3 linked regions of the Caenorhabditis elegans genome follow. The protein of the gene in region 2 interacts with the protein of the main gene of each other region in a pairwise test. Each region holds a gene or a part of one and is shown on either strand. Other genes may lie near its edges.

Evidence for each region. Proteins that work in one complex are often made in the same cells at the same time.
Region 1: the proteins of dmd-6 (region 2) and gei-3 interact in a two-hybrid assay, tested with the Caenorhabditis elegans proteins (one large-scale study listed by BioGRID).
Region 3: the proteins of dmd-6 (region 2) and pax-3 interact in a two-hybrid assay, tested with the Caenorhabditis elegans proteins (one large-scale study listed by BioGRID).

What each region holds. Positions count from the first base shown.
Region 1 is NC_003284.9:12,810,621-12,815,456, forward strand, and holds the start of gei-3 (HMG box domain-containing protein), read right to left. Parts: upstream 3,020-4,836; coding exon 2,987-3,019; intron 1,952-2,986; coding exon 1,837-1,951; intron 1,387-1,836; coding exon 1,285-1,386; intron 1,235-1,284; coding exon 963-1,234; intron 917-962; coding exon 824-916; intron 680-823; coding exon 563-679; intron 494-562; coding exon 384-493; intron 179-383; coding exon 29-178; intron 1-28.
Region 2 is NC_003282.8:14,614,736-14,622,607, reverse strand, and holds the start of dmd-6 (DM domain-containing protein), read right to left. Parts: upstream 6,006-7,872; 5' UTR 5,898-6,005; intron 5,545-5,897; exon of another isoform or gene 5,524-5,544; intron 5,439-5,523; exon of another isoform or gene 5,418-5,438; intron 5,253-5,417; exon of another isoform or gene 5,232-5,252; intron 4,602-5,231; exon of another isoform or gene 4,581-4,601; intron 4,475-4,580; exon of another isoform or gene 4,454-4,474; intron 4,361-4,453; exon of another isoform or gene 4,337-4,360; intron 4,233-4,336; exon of another isoform or gene 4,212-4,232; intron 3,475-4,211; exon of another isoform or gene 3,454-3,474; intron 3,411-3,453; exon of another isoform or gene 3,390-3,410; intron 3,197-3,389; exon of another isoform or gene 3,176-3,196; intron 3,158-3,175; 5' UTR 3,154-3,157; coding exon 2,935-3,153; intron 2,881-2,934; coding exon 2,751-2,880; intron 2,427-2,750; exon of another isoform or gene 2,406-2,426; intron 1,085-2,405; exon of another isoform or gene 1,028-1,084; intron 592-1,027; coding exon 518-591; intron 100-517; coding exon 1-99.
Region 3 is NC_003280.10:10,144,912-10,152,588, reverse strand, and holds the start of pax-3 (Paired box protein 3 homolog), read right to left. Parts: upstream 6,020-7,677; 5' UTR 5,742-6,019; coding exon 5,700-5,741; intron 5,270-5,699; coding exon 5,172-5,269; intron 5,127-5,171; coding exon 5,030-5,126; intron 4,332-5,029; coding exon 4,148-4,331; intron 3,739-4,147; coding exon 3,664-3,738; intron 634-3,663; coding exon 344-633; intron 285-343; coding exon 144-284; 3' UTR 1-143. UniProt on the Caenorhabditis elegans protein: Transcriptional activator. Regulates the lateral/ventral epidermal cell fate decision.

The DNA.
Region 1 (4,836 bases), on a different chromosome or scaffold from region 2:
ACATTTTCAAAAATTGCAAGTAACTTACATGGGAGTGATATTAATGACATGTTGTAATTGCTGTGAACGCCGCTGCTGTTGTTGCAGAGCCATCAATAAAGTAACGTTGTCTTGCGAATTTGTGTTTTGTCGGCCGTCTTCGCTTGTGCTAGGTAAGGACATTGAAGATGTTGGTACACTGGAAAATTTTATTGAATACTGCTGCTTAAAAACTTTAAAATGAAATGCTTTCTAAAAACTGAGTAATTTGCATTTCAGTTATCATTTGAAAAATCAAGTCCGACTAATCAATATTAGAGTCAAAAACAAAAACTATTTTTATCTGATAGCTTCAAAAAGTGAAAACATAAACTCAAAAAATATTTCTTTAAAGTTTACCCTACCTGTTAGAAACCCGTTGTGGATTTATTAAATCCTCATACCAGGGCGGCCGGAGCAATCTCAAATTTGCCCGAGACACTAGACTTGAGTAATTTGCGTTGGTCACTTTCACCTGCAAAAAATTGGCATTAATTAATGTACTTGCAAGTTCATAGTTTTTGCAAGAAATCTAGTCTAGTACCATAAATTTCGGCGGATTCCCGTTGCTTGATTGAAGTTCAGCCGTTCTGTAAATTGTTTCTGACTTCTCCAGTGGTAATCGTACTGCCAGAATTGTGTTTGAGACAAGTGTTGTTAACTGAAATATGAAGAGTAATAAATGTTCTTGAATATATTTTAACTGATGGGGAAAGGTATCTTGAAATTTCATTTTTGAAATTTCTTTAGTGTTATTTGTTAGTAAAATGAGGTTATCTTTATACGCCAAAAAATTAAAACTTACGTCGGAAAGACTAGGAGCCTGATCGGCAATCACCATTGTCAAGTTAAACTCGCTTGTTACATAGTCATATCTAGCTTCTCTACCATCATCCAACTGAAAATACTTTATTTTATTCTTTATGTGCTCAAAATCCACTAACCTGCACAATTATATCGCGGTTACCATATGCAGTTTTCACAAACCCCGGCTGATATACACCAGGAGGCACTCGTGCCAAAACCCGATGTCCCAACCAGTCTACCAGAATAACGTTAGAGTTAACAGATGTCGCTGCGGCTATTAGATCTGTGTTATATTGTACGGGTATCGGATGGTGAATACGAGTAGCTGCAGGTGAAGGTAAAGGTTCAGCTGTGGTATCCGATGATGGTTGCGATGTCTGTGGAGGTGGAACGTCGTCTGAAGGTTGGTCTGAAAATCAATTGGTAAGGAGAAAATGCGAAAAACTGAATTAGTCTCACTTGGTGGAGAAGACTTCTGAATATTTAGATTACGTAAAATATCAGGGTTAAAAAATGCGGAGAAGCGGAACGCGCCGATTGGGCCAGCTGGTGTTGGCGCTTCTGGAACACTTATGAGTTGTGATGTTCAATGCAAAATATGGCGGGAATGAAATCAAAAAGAAGCAACAAAAAACATTCCCTACTATGTACAACAAAAAAAAACTACACTGACAAAAAAGAGGCGCCCATTGCACACCTATCCAAGCGAAAGTCCGGATGCGAGACCGAGAATTTATACGTTTTTCGGAGAGTTGCAGGAGAGCTCAAAAAGGGAACAAAAACCAAATGGAACACAGAAAGTTGTACTACATAAACTATGAGAAGGGTATTCCATTCAAAGTAAACCACACAAAAAGATGAAGAAAAAAGCGAAAATTTTTGTTATAAACGTTATTGACAGAGCAAAGCAGATGGCCAATCATCATTCGGGTGGGAATAATTTTAGGTTGCAGTTGGGAGGATGCACTACACGTGAACGGCAAAAGAATACAAAAATATTCTGGAACTTACGTGACGAGTTTGTGGGAGACAGATCATCTTGGCTTTCTGACGTGTGACTTCGAAACGCGGTCGCTGCCGCTGATGGCAGCGATTGTTGAGTGAGCAATGACGGAATGGCCGCAATCTGCAGAATCGGATAGATAAAAACGCTATCTTACGTCAAAAAGTATACATTCGTCTGGTTAGAAAAGATTATCCAATGATTTTAATCAGCTTTCTGATCAGTTTTAAATTACGTTTCTTTTTCTTTTCTGATCAATGTCCTAAAGTAAATAAATAAGAAATATTTGTTAGTTAGGGGAACAAAACCAATAAGTACCAAATATTTTTATACATATAAGTGATGAAACATATGTACTTATTAAATGTTCTCAATTTCATTAATTTCATTTTGTAAATAAACGTGGTATGGATTTTCTCCTGCTAGACTTCGAAATGATTATTTCCTGAACCCAAACTATAAAAATATTCTACAAGTTTCTATTTTTCAAAACATACAAAGATACATTTTAAAATAAAGGCATTAAATACCCAAATACCGAAACCCATTCTTGAGGAGTTGAAATGTTTCATTTATAAAATTACGAAATTTTCTTCAATTTTATGGAGTAAAACTTTAAGGAAGTTAATTGAAATAAATTTTTGGTAAATAATTCCTTTTTTTAATCAAAATAAATTGTTAAAAACTCAATTAGGGGGGAGCATGAATAAAATTTTTGCAAACAAATTTAGCTCAAACAAATGGTTCAAACCTTGAAATAACAGGATTTAAAACACAATCGAGGAGTACTAGAAAATAATAAGGATTTTTGACCATTAGCCTTTCAAAAATGTTTTAGTATAGCTTCCGAATTTTTGAACTTTTTAGTAATATTTCTGAATGAATAATGTTAACCTGCTAATTATTCCGGTCACTAGAATAATAGTAGACTCGTCGAGAAGCTGGAGACATATATAAATAGAGGTTTTCAAAACACTAGAATTAGAAGTACTAACATTATTAGAAGTCAAAGGTAATACTAGAAAGTTGCGCAAAAAAAATAAAACACGGTAATTTGAAACTAAAATCCATACAGATACAATTTTTCAGGTCAACCTAGTTGTGTTTTTAGTTGGTTCGTTTGGCAGAACGTACTAGAAGAAAACAATGATACTGTACCTGTTTCGGAGATCCGCCTTCTTGATTTTCCATCGAGATGATTTCAGGAACGATTTGCAAACTTCCTGTATAATATATATTTTTCAATTTGAAAAAATATGCAAGATAGTTCAACTGAAATTTAAATATTTTTATGGAGCCAAAATATGTACTCCACCCTACTCCAGATGCAAAGAGCATTCCAAAACGCAGAAAAAGAAAATACTTTCAAACTCACCTTGATTTTCAAAAAGACTCATGGAAAAAATACCTGACGCGTGTACTGCATGGGAAGCTGCCGAGCACTGCCTGCTAGTAGTTGCACATATCACAGATTGTGGGTCAGTCCTCCTAAACAGGACCTGAAATCAGGCTGCTCAATGAACAATGTGAGGTTTCCCGCCGAAGCGAATGTCTAGAGAACGAAAGGTTTGAAAAGATTTGAATAATTATTCTGATGAAAAAAATTTGAAGAAAAAAAAAGAAAAAATAAAGCTTTAAAAATGAAGCCTTGAAGATTAAGTGACTCAAGAACTAGAGGAAAATGCTAAGAAGTGAAATGTAATGGAACAGAACAACATTTTCGGAGAGTTTTATGATTTTCTAAATTGTGGGCGGATGATCTGGAAGTGACTTGAATTGATCTAATCTCAACCCAATGATGAGTGATTTGATAAGGGGATAAATGCCATTAGGATTTCGAAAAAAAAATTTGAAAACATAATCAATGGCTTCATAATGTGATGTCAAAATAACAAAAGATGATGCACTTCCTAGAATTATAATTGATATTCAACGTTCAAAATTTGAAAAACGTGATATTTCAATATTTCCACAAAAAGTTTTGATCAAGAATAAATCCTACCAAATTTTGAGGACATGTTAGTTCAGAAATTGTTAATATTTTTCGTTTGAAATTTCCGTGGTTATGTGCTAAAACTCGACATCTACATAAACAGTTAGCAATAGGAAAATTTTATTTAGGCTGTGATTTGATGAAAATATATATTAGGTTACTTAAAATACATAAGAACCCAAATTTTATAATTGTTTTAAAATTCTATTTAATAATGAAAATATCACTAGATATTCTCTTATTCCTTAATTTTTACACTTTAGACACGTTCAGATAACAATGTAGGTAAGCAAGGTGCTGGTAAAAATTTCTGCGTCAGACTCCAGTTCCGAGATATCAAAACGATATTCAGTGTTCTATAAATTTTACAACAAAAAAATCACGGTGGCACTGAAATAAGTCGTCGCTGATTTCAGGTAAGCTTTATACCATATTTTCTAATCCTCTAAAAATCTTTCCATGATGTTCTAAAAATAATGTATGGCGTAAATTTCGCACAGATTAGGGATGCTTTCGCTATTTTGAGAATTACCGAAGGATTTTGTAGAAAATCGGTTGCGACTAAAATTGATAGTCAAGGATCATTTACCTTTGCCAACGACGCGTATTTACAATACTAGAACAAAAACTACGTAACTGCTTACGTCGTCACCCACACCCCCTCCCATCACCTGAATTCGCCATCTAGATCCTGACTCGACCCGTACGCGTACACTGATGACAACATTTGTTGATTCTTCGTTTTCTTTTTTTTTTGGGTTAACCTAATACTTTGCCGTCATCAAGGCTAATTGTATGTTTTGTCGGGCAAAAACATCAGTTCATTCAGCGGTTGGCGAATGAGACTACGATCCCGACGGCAATTTTTACATGACACTTTTTTTTTCGTAATTTGTTGTCTTTCGGGTTGATCTAACATTTAATGAAATTGGGTTCCGAGACCACACCCACTGGAGGGTTCGCATGCAAATTGGGTGGAAAATCCGGGAAAAAGGTCGAACGCGGAAACTCTTTT
Region 2 (7,872 bases):
ATCATAGGACATGACTGTCATGTGCCCAAGTGAGCCACTTCGTCCTTCAAGACCATTAGCTGTGGGCATTGTGGAGTTGGAACGAGTGATAGGAGTCGTCTGAAATGGAATATAGTTGAGCATGAGATTGGAAATGAGCTCAAGAGTATGAGAAGATAAAGTAATAACAGGGCTCGCGCACCTGCTCCGCCTATTCTGACAAAATGTGAGCGCCGCTGCGTGAGGAGGGAGCCAGAGCAGCGTGCGAAGAGAGAGAGAGAGAGAGAGAGCGCATGCTTTGGAGCAGGAGCAGATTAAAAACCATAAGATCAGAATTTTCCCTCTCTCACTGGTTCTGTCGTCGACGTCTTCTTCTCATGCAGCTGTTAGGTCAAGGTGCGCGTGAGAGCTATGAGCAGACTAGAATATTTTCCTAAGAAACCGCGATTTCAGAGAAAGAAAGCCAGCTAGCTATTGACAGATGCCTTACACATATGAAGTGCAAAACAAGAGTCTAGTTTAGGTGGAGAATACTTACCGATGAGGTTCTCGTCTCCGAGTCCATGTCTGGTGTTGAAGTTTTTGAGCAGAATGAGGAACGGCGGGAGAAGCCTGAAAAGTTTCGAAATATTGAATTGGAACATATTGTGTGTGTGTATGTGTTGGAAAAGAAGAAAATGGAAAGTGTTTCGCGTTTCACTGCAGAATGAGAAACAATAGAAAATCGAATGCATCTTTCTTTCTCTCGGGGGGCCCCGAGTGTGGGTATATAGGACAGGTACTAGGTGCCGGATAAAGATCAGTAGAGGGACACAAGGGTTCCGTACTTGGGAAAGGAGTCTCGCACTGGATAATGCCGCCGGCTTACGACGGAGTGAAATGGGAGACGAAACATGTTGAGAGAGAGAGAGGAAGAAGAAAGAGACGCGAATAGAAATTCGGTGATCTTTAAATCCTTCACTATTTGGTGCGACTGGTGTGTTGCTCACCTTTTTTACATTATTTTTTCATAGTCTGTGTACACTTACTCCCACTGATTCAGTCCTATTAGAAAAGAGAGAGAGAGAGAGAGAGAGAGAGAGAGAGAGAGAGAGAGAGAGAGAGAAATGAAAAAAAATGTATATGAAAGAGCAGCACACCAAAACACAGGGATCATACGTAATGTGAGCTAATGTGATTCACCATTTGCCTACGTCAACGCCATTTTGATGATTTCTAATCTCTATTCATTTATATGTAGACATCGAAAATTGAGAACAAGAAAAGTGACGGAAATCTGTTTACAGTCGAGCCGGCGGCTCCAGACACATACTTGGAATTTCTATTTCTGTTTGGCCAGCATACGCGCATACGTGCTCAATCTAACCATCGGTCAGCGGATATTCAAATGATAATTGCTATTATTTTGAACTGACACGAGATATGTGCCAACCGTCGTGAGTCATTGAGACACCAAAGCATAACTTTGTAGACAGATAAATTGAGTGGGAAAATTGTGAAAAATGAAAAGGAGAGAGAGAGAGAAAATAATTACGTATAATCAAATGCAAAAAGATCGTAGACGGGCTGCATAAGGGATCAAACCAGGGAGCTAAAACTCAAAACGGAAGACGTTCCAAGGAGTTTAGCTCAATTTTTTGAAGACAGAACCGAAATTATAATACATAAAAATGAAAATGAAGACTAGACGAAATGCCTGAAATATTCGCGAATAACAGAAGAGACAGTCGTCCTCGGGAGGCTGGGCACACAAACACATACACAGAAAAGTGATTGTGTACTGAAAATGTGAGCGCCTTTTCGTCATCCTCTCTGTGTGTGTGTGTGTGCCTTAAAATGTGAAAAAACGTGGAAAAACGAGAGGACGATGAGAACCGAGTAGACTAGTAGTTGCGAAAATCAGACAGGGCAAACGAGAAATAGTACAGATGTGATGAGAGTGTGCAGACGCAATGAGAAAGAGTGCAAGGTCCTGAAGCGACCGAAGAGAAGGGATGAAAGGGGGGGGGGGAGGAGGAGAAAGAGTTGCTGGAATGTACTAAAAACAAGTAGATGGCGAATGAGCAAAACAAAAAGGTCAGTGGAGGGTTCGAGTCGATCAGGACACACATTTTTGTATATATCAAGACGACGAAAACAAGATTCGTAGATTCGAGGGATGGAACTAGGAAATAGAATTTTCAGCGATCTAAGAACACTTGTTCTGAATATAGAATTTTGTTATTGCGGCGTTCCAAAAGTGCGACGAATTACACTGGAACGATCAGAAAGCGCAAGAATCAGGTGATTTTTGTAATGGTATAAAGGAAAAAAACTGATAACACTATCAAAAGATTAGTCTAGTACCGGTACCTACAGTCTACTTTTTTGCAAAAGTTGGGCAAATAGTTGCTTTGTTTTTGAAAAGTGAATGTCATGGGATCGAATTTTGTAGTAAACTCTTGAAATCAAAAGATCATGTCCTTTCCAAAATATCTAACAAATATGAAACATCATCGCAAACTCCAAAATAGTTTTGAAATAACACTTGATCTTTCAGTGGTTCTGCTGTCTACGTTGTTAGTCATACAGAGATTTTCGATCGCGTACGAGAAACGAACAAAACAACCGAGTACATTTTTGTGGAAATCTAGACGGAAGTTATGCATATTTGTGGGGGAACTAGGGAGTAAGCGCCAAAACACAACTGAGAAATCAGAGATCTATGGGTACTATATGGATTCTAATTTGATAGTGAAGGAGTAGGAGACAGAGATCAGGGAAAAGCTCACCTTCTTCATCGTCAACACTGGATCCGGATTCTGGAGCATGTCTCTTTGCATTCAGAGCTGCTGCCAACTCGATCTTTTCCTTATTTCTCTTGTTGAACGACTTCAGGCGCTTGTAGTTTAGCTTCTCGCACTAAAATTTGAAAATTTGAAAACAAAATAGCTCCCAGACTCTTCTAGAACTTACCGATTTGCAATTGCACAGAATATATGGGCACTGTGGTGAGTGATTCTTGAGGATCACCTTCTCGCCGTGTCCTTCGCACTTTCGGCAGTAAAGGATGCGTCCCTTTGGCTTTGGGGAGTCCATGTCTTGGGATGATGGAGAGTAGTTCTCGTTGCTGCGGTGATGATGATGATGATGCTCGTCGTCGATGGTTACAGTAGCGATGATGTGTGGGCTCATTTTACTGAAAGAATTGGGAATTTGAGATATGTACGGAAGGAGAGCAAAAGATTTTTCAAAGTAAGACTTCTTACGAACAGCGTGAAACAGGAATTCTTTTAATTTTTTAAGTTTAAAATATGTGTAAAAAACAGACCTCTAGAAACAGAAAATTGAAATATTAAAAAATTTCAATAAATTTTAAAAATTAGTGTTTCAAAACTTGAATATTCGTTGGCTAGTTATGATTTACATAATGAAGCTCCCGAAATTTCGAAAAAAATCTAATTGTCTTACTGAATTTAATGATTCACAGTAATTCTGCTAGATGCACACAGCAAATTGATGCAACATGATCACTGTATAAACTTGTGAAAATAATGAAACAGTAATTTTTCTTCAAGACATATATATTCCAAGAGTACTACAGTAATCCACAAGAGCTTAACCTTAGCTAACCTAAAATCATGAAGACTGATCAGGAATAGTGACAAAAATGGAGGAGGAGCTCCAAGGGTCAAAGCGGAAGTTACAAAGGGACCTACAAGAGAGTAAGAGAAAAAAATATGTAATTTCTTTTTTTTTTCCCATTCGAAAAAAAACACACTCGATGGGTGTGTGTTCCAGCTTCCTCGTTCCTATTTTTCCAGTCCCTAGTGGTTCAATAATCACATATGCGGGGAACACACACACACAGGGGGGTGTTCGAAGATCACTCGGGGTCTACTAGTCTGGGCTCGAAAAGCTCAAAAATTGGGTGAAAAACATGCTAACGCGAAGCAGCAGAGACACTGGAGAACACAACACAAATTGTGATCTAGAACACACACAGAGAGAAATAGATGACCAGGCGAACGGAGCACAAAACAGAAGAAGCAGAACACGGAAATGAGAGGATGGTTGTGCAAAATAAGTAGAAAATATCTAGAGGAAGTAAATTAAGACATTTTCAGACAAGGAAATAAGCGTTTAGATGGAGATAACTAGGTTACTGTAGATGATTTTTGAAAATTGGAATTCTTAATGAAAATTTACTGTTTCACAGAAAATGTTTAAGAGTTTTAAAACTGGAACTGTAATATTTATGTGATTCTATTAGTAATAAAAAAACTCACATCAGTAAAGGATTTGCAAAAATTTTAAAAATCGAAAAAAAGTTACTGTTTCACGGAAAATGTTTGATTATTTCAAAGTAGAGGCATACTACTTGTAGAACGACAGGAAAATTACGGTTTCAAATTTTGAAATTTAATAACACTTTCACTGTAAATTTTGTGAAATTTGGCATATGAATTTGATTACTGACTAAAAATAACAATTTACTCCTAATAAGAAATACAAATCAAAAATTATGTTGCGGTTATGTATACGTAAAAATTTAAAAACAGTGAAATTTTTCACTGTTTCAAAATATGCATTAAAAATGTTGTGGACTCTTTTTTTTTTGCTATTACCAACGAAGTAGGTTCATCATTTTTCAACAAAAAATATTTATGTAGATTTTTAAAATCTTATTAAAATTTTGAATTCGAATTTTTGAAATTTCAAATTTTGAAGAAAAAAATTACTGTTTCAAAATAAAAATATGAAAAGTTCACAAAGTTCAAAGTGCTTTCGACAGAATTTAAAAAATATAGAAATTAATACAAAACACATCAATTCCATAGGTACAAAGTTCCGTAAGTTCGGTTCTTTGTTGCTCCTCCTCTACTACACACGGCACACAGAAAATGAACATAAAATTGGGCGGTACAAAGTTTAGGCGGGGTGTGCAAATATTTGACCTACTCTCCACCTCCTCCCACTAACCGGGTTGAATGACTGAAGAGGTCGAAAAGTGTGTTTTTGATCACAAACTTTATCATCATCATTCTGTGACTTTTCCAGAGAAGAAAAATCTAGAAAAAGTCAAGAAAAATGATTCAAAAAAATAGGAAAAATAAGTGATCAAAAAACTGGAGTTGGGGGACCCGCAAAAACAGAGAACACAACCGCCAGACAAAACATTTCTTCTTTTTCTTCGTCTCTTTAAAGATCGCCGAGTAAATTGACAACAAAAAGCTCAAAGTTTCAGTGTTTTTCTCTTTGAAGCAGGAACAAAAATTTTCAGCTTCTTTTCAGCTGAAGCTCAAACTTTTTTAAAAGAAAAAGACATTGTGAAACAGAAAAGTTCCCATTTCTTGTAAGAAATGACTAACAAGTGACACGGCAAAAAGTGAAAGAACTGGCAAACACGTAGCCTTTGTAGTCTACAAAATGTGTCTACAAAATGTACAATAAGGTGAAACTTTTAAAGAAAGAATAGAGCAAACACTTAAAAAAAATGGAACTTTTTTCAAAATTTTGAAACAGTTGAAAATTTTTTAATCAGAATAGTTTAGTTTATTGGGACCAATACAGGGCGATATCATAGCAAAAACAAACATTTATTTGTGAATTTCAGAACTTTTTGAAACAGTAAAATATTTTTGAAACCAAAACTTTGTGGTTGTCAGCCAAGCTACAAGAAGCGACGAAAATTATTGCAATTTTCAAACTTAAGTTTTGTTTATAAAAAAAAACAATGCTCTCTGTGTAAATTTCAAAATGTTTTGAAACAGTTAATTTTTTCCAAAGTCCAAAATTTTGAATTTTTTCCGTTTCCTCCGCCACGTCATTTGCACTAATTTTGTGCTTCCGACTAACATTATACAAACATCTTCACCGGTTTTCCTAGACACCTCAAGTGGCTAAATATGTTTGCAACAAAAAAAACACGAACTTACCAATGACCAGCTCCACAAAATAATATTTTTTTTTGATTGTTGAGCCACACGAGCTCCAACCAAAAATGGCTTCTTTTTGATGATTTGGCAATGAAAGTGAGATGAAGTCTGAAAAAAGAGGAATTTCTTTAAAAATTTGCGGAGAAATTGTATAGTAAATTGGAAAGAGAGAAGCCAAAATTGTGATTTTTGAAAAAATTATGGAAAAGTTTTGCATACGAAATCTGTTTAATACGATTATTTTTCACGTGCGCAGAGGGAACCGAAAGATTAAAAGTATATATGGAGAGAAAACTGTCGGAAAATGTTGGACGAAGTTTAATCAGTGAGGTTTTGTTGAAAAGTTTAGAAGAAACATTTTTGAAACAGTGAAAAAAATTTCCAAAAAAAAAAGAGTACAATTAGAACCTGTAAATTGAAAATTTTAATCAGTGATTCTTAATGCAGAAATTCGATCACGTTTTCATCGAAAAAGCCAGTTTCCACGCAGCTTCAGATCCCAATCAAAAACGATCCAGAATGAAGTGAAGATGAGGAAATGCAATGGAAGGGAATAACGAGTGTATTAAACTAGACACAGTTCGTATTAAGGGCGTATGTAGGAGTTTCAAGGTAGAAAGAGGCCGAAGCACGGGAGATGAATATCTTGAGGGATTTTTTGGGAAGTTTCTTGACTGTAACAGGAAAAAAAAGAACCGAAGTTATTGAGAAATGAAAGTTGAAATTAGGAACATGCAATTTTGAAACAGTATTTTTTTTCCGAAAAGTTAAAATTGGTCAATTTTGGCGGGAACGGCAGTTCAACAGATTTAAATATATATTTTAGCGAAATTTATATTAACATTCCAAACAGGTAACAAATTGTGAAAAAAGTTTAGGTTTCTGGCTGTAACAGGAACAAGATGCGACCATTAATGAGAAATCAAGCTTGAACTTAGAAAAATGCGGAAAACAAATTTTTTTGGAAATTTTAGTTATTGCAACTGCACATAAAATTGTTATATTTTCCAGCGACATGGTTTATATTAAGATTCAGAACAGTTAAATAAATTGGAAATAAATTGGATTGAAAAATTGTCGAAAAAATCACCGTTTCCTTATAATAAATTTTAAAACAGTAATTTTTTTTTTTGGAAAACTTAAAATAAGATCGGATTTCGTTAATTTTTCAGTTAATTTCTCACCAACTACACTTACTACAAATACTGAATTCTTGAATGTACGTGTGAATAAAGGTTAGATCCGCCGAGTTAGATAAGAAAAACACGGTAAATGCAGAAATCCCACATTTGAACGGATTCTGCTGCTGGAGGTGGAGATATCGAGTCACAGAATGTTCATTGGGATCTTTCAGAACTACTACTAACACTTGAAACGGCGAGGAATTTTCATGGAATTTTTGAAACAGTGAAAAAAATTTCCAAATTTTAAAAATTTTTAAATTTTGACATTCAAACTTCGAAAGTTAAACTATTAATTTTTATTTCTTGATTTCAAGTTTTAAGATTTACTTCTTAAACTTCTATCCAGAAAATTGTTACTGCTACAAACTACGGCCTACGGATACTACGGATACTACGGAAATTACGGATATTCAATTGGAACTGATGTTACTCAAAAGATCCGTGATCGAGATACAGCCGGGCAGGCGGGGGGTCGCTATGATTTTTGTTGTTACTCTTATGCAAGTAAATTGCACTTTTCTGGCCCCACTAAGTAGCTCACGCTTTTGTAGAGATCAAACGCCCTCCCTGTAAAGGCGTCACATCTCGAAAAATACATGGAGGAAAAGCTGCTTGTGTTGAGATTATGATCAGAGAAAACGATGTTGAACAAGAGATCGCAGAATTTTTTGATTGGAACGAAATAGAATGAAAAACAACTGCGAGAAATATTTTTATAGAATTTGAAAAAAAAAATTGAAAAAAAATTACTGTTTCAAAATTATCACAAAAAAAATTTTGTTGCAAAATTT
Region 3 (7,677 bases), on a different chromosome or scaffold from region 2:
AGTTTTGGGAAGAATGGGTGAATTCTTAAGGTAATGTTTTAAAATTAATTCTGGACTTTCAAATTAAATTTGTGTATCAATTTCTGATCGACTTTCAAATATCACAGGTTTTATTTGAAAGTTCAGAAATAAGTTCAAAGCGTTTAGCTTGATGATGGCGGAGATGATTGACTTGATGGGGGACTTGATTGGAGTATGTGTTGAAAGAATAACGGATTCAATTGAGGACTCGTTGAGTAGGAGGGTAGGAACATCATCGGTGAAGGCAGCAGCGTTGGGTAGGACTGAAAATCAAAGTTTTAGTAATTTGTTTTCTAATATATAGTTTCGATTTCTAACTAACCGGCGGAGATGATCCAAAACCTTGAACATTGTACTGTTGATACATTGGCATATTTTTCCGACATCTTGCTCGCCGATTCGAAAACCACGTCATAATTTTCTCTTCGCTGAGCCCTGTCTCCTTGGAAATGCTCTCTCTGGCGTTGGCATGTGGGTAAGTGTCTGCGCGGAACGCATTTTCAAGAACATCTAGTTGCTCGGCAGTGAATGATGTACGATTTCGACGAGACGATGCGTCGTTTGATGGTGAAGAGCCCTCTTCGTCATCCGATGACGATTTGCTGCATTCGTCTGAAAATTATTTTTTTGAAAGGGGTTATCATAGCTACCATTTTTGGGTACGTGAATGCATTTTTGAATTTTCATTAACAAACTCTATACATCCTCTCTCTATACAGACTTTCGAAATGTGGAACTAATATTTTTCATCTGCCATTTTTTTCATCCGTTGAAAATCGAAAGGGCAAATGTTCCAGGCGTAATTAAAATAACAAACATTTTCAATAGCATGCGACGTCAAAAGTTGAAGTAACTATTGCAACTAGAATATATTTGATACCAGGGAGGCTCTAATGAATAATGAGCATGCTGAAATGCCTTTCTGAAAGGCTTCCGGACTCGCCTGCCTCGAGACTGAAAATTATTTGAGTTCCGCATACGTTCTATTTCAAAAATTCAAAATCAGACCCCCGCCTATCAAGCATTTTCCCTCAAAATCCGGAAATCAATGAGTCAATTGTAAGGTATCTAACAGAGAAAGACTACGGCCTGCCAGTCGAGTCGCCCAATTACTATATATAATGTTGCGCCACAGTGGGTGGTCTCAGTCATGTCGTAGGCCTCTCGCATAGACACACTTCTCTAAAAATAATCGATAAAGATCGGGAGAGACCCTATTGCGGGTGGGGGAGGGGGGGTGTCTCTTCTAATTTATAGACTTGACACCTTTGTGTACTTGAGAAAGAGATATCATGTGGTGGAATGGACCCTATTAATTTGTTTTTATCGTTCCATTTTTTGACGGATCACTCCATCATCACCGTCGTTTCTCACATCCAAGTTTTATGAGCTGTGCGCTAATCGGTTTCTGTCACAGGAGTATTTTATAGTGACGGAAGGAAGGAAGGTAAGGTTATTTCTATACAATGTTCTAATTTGAAGAATGTCGATTTCAAGGATGCTCAACTTGATCTTTTATCTCATTAATATTTTTCATCCGTTCTTGTCAAATCAAAGCAGATTTCTACCGCACTTAGTCCTCTTTCTGGTAATAGTCTGCAGAAAACTTTAGCTACTTGCCGAGTAGAGTAAGATTTTCAAAAATGAATTCTCCCTTAAGCATACTGTAGTTTTTAACGATATCGTTCTATAATTCCCAATGCTCATTAAGAACGGCGCGGGGGAGTGCTATAATATATTCCCATTGAGCAATGTATTCTGAGCGTATTCCAGGAAGAAGAAACTTTTGTTTCCATTTCTTTTTTCACCTGGAACTTTATCACTCCAGTCTCTGATACCTAAATATCAGTCGTTGCGTTGTGTTTTCAACGGCTACCTATTTTTGGAAAATATTAATTTTTGTTACTTATGAATGTAATAGAAATATAGACATGTGGAAAATCATGGAAGTATTCTGACAAATTCGGGAAATTTCTGAAAAATCACGTTACCGCACCGCCGAGTTCAAACTTTGGTTCAAGGTTTGTGGTGGAGAGAGGGTAACTCGGACTCGGTAAAAACTTGATAATAAACAAGCTCACAATGATCTGTCATGCCTGCCTGCCTTCCAGGCAAGCTGACCAACACCTACTAACGATCTTGCGCAACATACCGTAACCCACATCCCTAACAATCATATTGTCAAATGTCAAATGTCAAAGTTTTAATGTGTTAAATTGCGGATATGTATTATGTTCGTATGCATGTGTTTGCTTTTTTTCGCGCATCCCAATCTTCTCTCGCGCCAGTCACTCGTGTGCCCATCCTGATCAATTGGCCGCGAAAATATGGAATTTATTGGATCGTTTTCTCCTCCTCCTACCTACCTATTTGAATAGGCACCTATCAAGTGCGCAAATCTTCTCCCCCTATCTTAATTGCTACGTGTATGCGAAAATGTGCGAAGTTGAGCGGTGGTTCACAATTTAAGGAATGACAAGATTGACGACAAGTTAGGAAGCGGGAAAAAACGGGACAGGAAGAGAGGGGAAGTGTTGAAAGTTTTGGAAGACAAGAAGTTGAAACAGCAGGAGGTAGTGGCATGACCCCTAGAAATTCAAGTAACTTGCAAAAACATAAGTTTGTGGCTGTCTAGTTTCTTATAAAAAGTAGGCTAAAAGTTTTGGAAGTTTTAAAAACCAAAAATTTCACTTTTATTCGTTCTATATAAACAGTCTCAAAGCTGTTGTTAAACTTGAATTTTCAGACAAAGATTTAATGAAACTGTTTGGAGTGCCGAACATGATAAAAATGCCTGCCTGCGTGCCTACAAGGTAGGCGTATGATGCCTGGAATTTGACATGCTCTTTCTTTAGATTACGATTTTCTTGCACAACTACCGTACCCTACCGAATGTGATTAACAACTGAGCACAGATCAAACAAGATTTTAGGATCAAAAGTGCCTGCTTACCGGACATCAAGGCGACCTACCTATAGGCTTCACAATGCAACATCAGACCCTAGACTTCACACCAAGATGTAGACGAATAGGCAGTAGGCAAGCTAACAGGTAGGCCTGAAGACACGCGGGACATTCCGGTACGCTTGTTGCAGATCAGGAGAAACAAAATGCGGTACACTACCGTAACCCGTAATTCAATCAGTCATGGTTCTCTCCCTGAAGATCTCCGTGGCGGCGCACAGCATGCAACTCACAAACAAATACGATGGTCTTGTTGATTAAAATCAACCCCTGACGCGTGCCCCCTTGTCTAATTCACATCATTCTTCACCGACGCTTCTTGTCCTTTCCGCCCCCACTTCTTCAACGTCTTCGCCTTTATCGTCTTATCACACCGTTAACATACACAGCGACATACAGGCGATACTAATCAAAGTGTTAATGACCGTTATTATATCAAAGAAGTCCAATATACAGTATGCCCTCTGGCCCCTTTGGGAATATTGGGAGGAATGAAAACTTTCATGCTACGTCTGTTTGTGTGTTACTATATGGCAGAAGAAAATTGAATTGAAAGAACGGAATGTTGCCTGATTGAACAGGAAATCCGACACCCAAAAAAGGTGTTGGAGGACATGAGACAAACGGAACGAAATTATAAATGTGTGAAATCAAGACTATTCCAATTAGACCACTTACCAATTGAAATTCCCAGAATGCTGTCGATACTGTAGCTCAGCCGTTTTCGTTCCATTTTCTTCGGAACCCCGACGCCTGCAAAAAAGTATGTGGTGATTTGTGTGAAGATAAATATTGATAAGGAAATTAAAACAAAAAAAAGTGATAAGGAAGATATGATGAAAAAGTGCAGCAAAAAAGATGATATGATTGGCGTGAAGAAATGATTGATGAGGTTATAGAAAGTGATAATTTGATCGAATATGTCTAGAAGTTCTTCTTGTGAGGTTTGTTGAATTTTTGTGGAAAATCACGCATCAAAAAATGACGCCCAAGCAAGTTTCCATGAAAGTATTCGAAACAAAAAAAATCGTTGTCAACAGTTAAACAAACACAACCACAGCTATCAGAAGCGGAACATTCATCAAACGAAACGAATTTCTGTTTGTTTTTCATCTATTCCTCTACCTTTTTTTTGCCTTCACAGTTTTCATCATTATTATACCTTTATTCCCAATAAGCCTTTTTATCGCAGGTACTGTTGGAGCATTTCCTTTTGTGCAAATGTCTTTGTGAATAAGCCAATCTCGGAGCTCTGCAGCGCTCATTTGTGGATTCTCATCACATGCGATCAGAATTTCTTTCTCGACGGCTTGGACTGTAAGTCGAGCGCGGGGACTTCCACCGATCTGAAATTAATTCATAGATATTTATGTTTAAAAAGCATTTGCTTTCGCTAGGCTTATGTAAGAAATATGACGAATATTTTCGGCAAATCTACAAAACTGCCCAATCCCAGATTATAACTCTTTTTTTTATTAAATTAAATGTAGAAATATAGATAGAAAAATATTTGATCAGTTTGAAAATATCAGTTATTTGCATTGAAATAGTCGAGAAAAATTTCAAAAACTGTTTCAAAGTTGTCATTTGCCGAAAACGTTTTGATATCAGTTCTTGGAAAGTTTCAGGTTGTTTTTGAGATGATTTTAAAGTTTATAAATGAATAAAAATTGTTTTGTATATTTGCACTCCCCGTTCTACACTCTTTGCCGTTTTGCAACCAACAAAATGGAATTTTCAAGAATTCAAAGTTTACTTTTTTTGGAATTGTAATTACCGTATGTTTTTGGTAACCAAAAACCTAGTAGACAACAACTACTTTAACAGAAACACAGACATCCGACGCATTTTTTGAAAAATGCCGAAAAGTGCCACCCGGGGCGTCGCACCTGCGCGACCCGCCAAAATTGAGTATTACGGTACTTTTTTGAATCAGGACGACGACACGCGGCACGTGTAGGCAAACATTAAATTTTATGGTTATGATTCGCCTGCCTGATGACCTAATTAGCAAATTATCTTATCATCCAGAAAATGCACTGACCTGTCCCGGAGATATTGAGCCCGTCTCGGCGTAACGATTCAAGATTTTCGAAACAGCTCCATGAGATACTTTGAGTTGACGACTGATGTGACATGGTCTAAAAGATTATTGTTAGTGTTCTCTAGAAGTTCGGACTACTTACTTTATACCCTTTTTGGCCATTGAAATGATAGCATGACGAACGTGAATTGGAAGGGGTCGACCGTTGATGAAAACTCCACCGAGTTGGTTAACACGACCCTGAATTAATTTTGGGCTTCAATAGAGGCGGTGAGAAAGGAGAAGAAATTGAGACTTGGAAAACTCAAAACATATTTTCAAAAACTTTTCAAATGCTATGAAAATCTAACTTAAGGCTAACTATAGTAATGATACTATCTAATTTTTGTGATGCTTGATGAGCTCTATTAACAATAAATCAAAAGTTTCTATAGGCTACAACTTCAAACTGTATAATTAACAAGAGCTTAATTTTAGCTCCTTAAAACGTCTGAGCCAGTATAGAAATAATTCGAAATTAACGTACATTCTAGAACCATCTAGAATTTCCAAAAATTTCTTCAATCAAATTTTTCCGGGATACATCTCCTACTTCTAGACATTAAAAAATACCTGAGCAGTAGTTTATGCACTACAACTAGAAAACAACTTATCGAAACCATAGACTTACCTGCCCAAGAATGTGATTAAATGTGATAGAATCTGTGGTCATTTTGTTAGTAGTGGATGGGATATCAGGAGCACGTATGGCTGGCCCCCAATATACCGAATGTGTGAATATCAGGTATATAGCGTGAAAACTTAAGGAGCGAGTAGTTTCGAGGTGACACGCCTTGTCGAACTGTGAATGGGCGGGACGGCGATCCCGCCCACCTATGCGCATGCGCGGTCTGTTACAGGCATGCATAGTCTCGAGTACGGTAATCGAAACCAGCGAGACATAGAGAAGGGCGAAAGACACGGGCGGTAAGCATCAAAGGACGTACTAGTAGATGTTGGCGCGGGGTATGTGGGTTTGTTATCAGAGATATTCTGACTAGGAGGTGGATTTTTGGAGATGAAGATTTATGTGCTCGATGGTTTTGATTTGAAAGGTCAATGTTTGGTAGTAGCACCTGCAAAATGGTGATTCACCTGTGGATAGTCTCGAAGAAAAGGACATCTAGGAGCGTGCGGATCTTGCAGATTCAAAATATTTGCAGATAGCTACATAGATCTAAGCAGTCCACCGTGCTTCTGGGTGAAGCTAGAAGTAACTCTAACATGAAACTGGAACCAGAAACGAATACTTCAAAACTTTAAAAATCGTTCATGTCCATTAAAAGCTTAAACAGCGTTAGAATTATTCATGCTACTAATATTTGAAAACAGCTTCTTAATGGATTTCAGACAAAGTTTACTTTCTTTGTTTGCTTTTTCGATTATGTGATTTGTTGGACTTACCTAACACAAAAATAATTTTCTGATTACCAAAAACATACATATTCCAAAAGTTGCAATTTCACGGAAACAAGAACAGATAGAACAAACAGACAACTTTCGAGAGTAGTGTAACTTGTTGGCAATGACCAATTTCCCCATTTTCATTTCCAGTGTTCAAAAGTGTAAACATATTTTACAAACAAAAGAGGTCAGGAGGAAAAGTGCTTCGAGGATACGGTACAAATATTTCCAATGAGAAATTTAAAGATATGACTTTGCAAAGATCGACTACATTCTTGCCTACCAGCCTACGGGTAGGTTAATTTGAAATCTGAAAAAACTAACATATATATGTATCTGTAATTTGAGACCAGTGTTAGTTGTAAGTTTGGAAAAATAGTTGTCACCTCTATTCATTCAGATTTTCAAGTATTTCTATAACTATTCTTTTTTCAGTATCCCTTTACTCTGTCTTATCTGATTATTCAATTTCAGACGTTCTTTTAGACCTATCTGTTTTGTGTCGGCCCGACTTAAGAACCTACTTGTCTTATCTCGATCTACAATGTGCAAAACAAGTTCATCCGCGAACTGTCAATCAATAAATTGCTCGCAATTAGCGAGTCGGTGTTTGGGAGGGCTCGTGTTGGGAAAGTTTATGTCATTGAGATGAATAATGGTATTTTTAGTTGTTTACCGACGGTGTCTAAAGATATAAATCTATTCTAAACTACACAATTGGAGAATTATTTGTGAGTTTCAGTTAGAAACAAAACGTGAAAATATGTGAAATAATGTGAAATAATCCTAGTCATTAATCCTTTATTACCCCATACAAATAGCCTTTTAATACCGAAAACACCTGAAAACTACACGTGCATTACCCAATCAACAAGTAGGGCCCAATTTCTTTTTCGGCACGTGTCACATCATCATTTCCTTCTTCATCTTCCCGGATTGCGCAAGGTTGTCTTACACCATTTTCCTGATAATCTGGGACCATGTTATCAGGGGGACGAAGAAACGGTGGCGGTATCGTTTGAAGTGGTATGCGGTCATAATTAAGGGCCACGCGCCGATGTCAACTTTTGGGGGTCTTCACACCTTTGTAACACTTGGATATATCTTTATCTATCTATCCGGAGAAGTGTGAGATGATGATGATGCGGGGTTTTCCGCTATCTGAAAAGGGCATCATCTATGGAGAATTGATGGGCTGAGTGCGG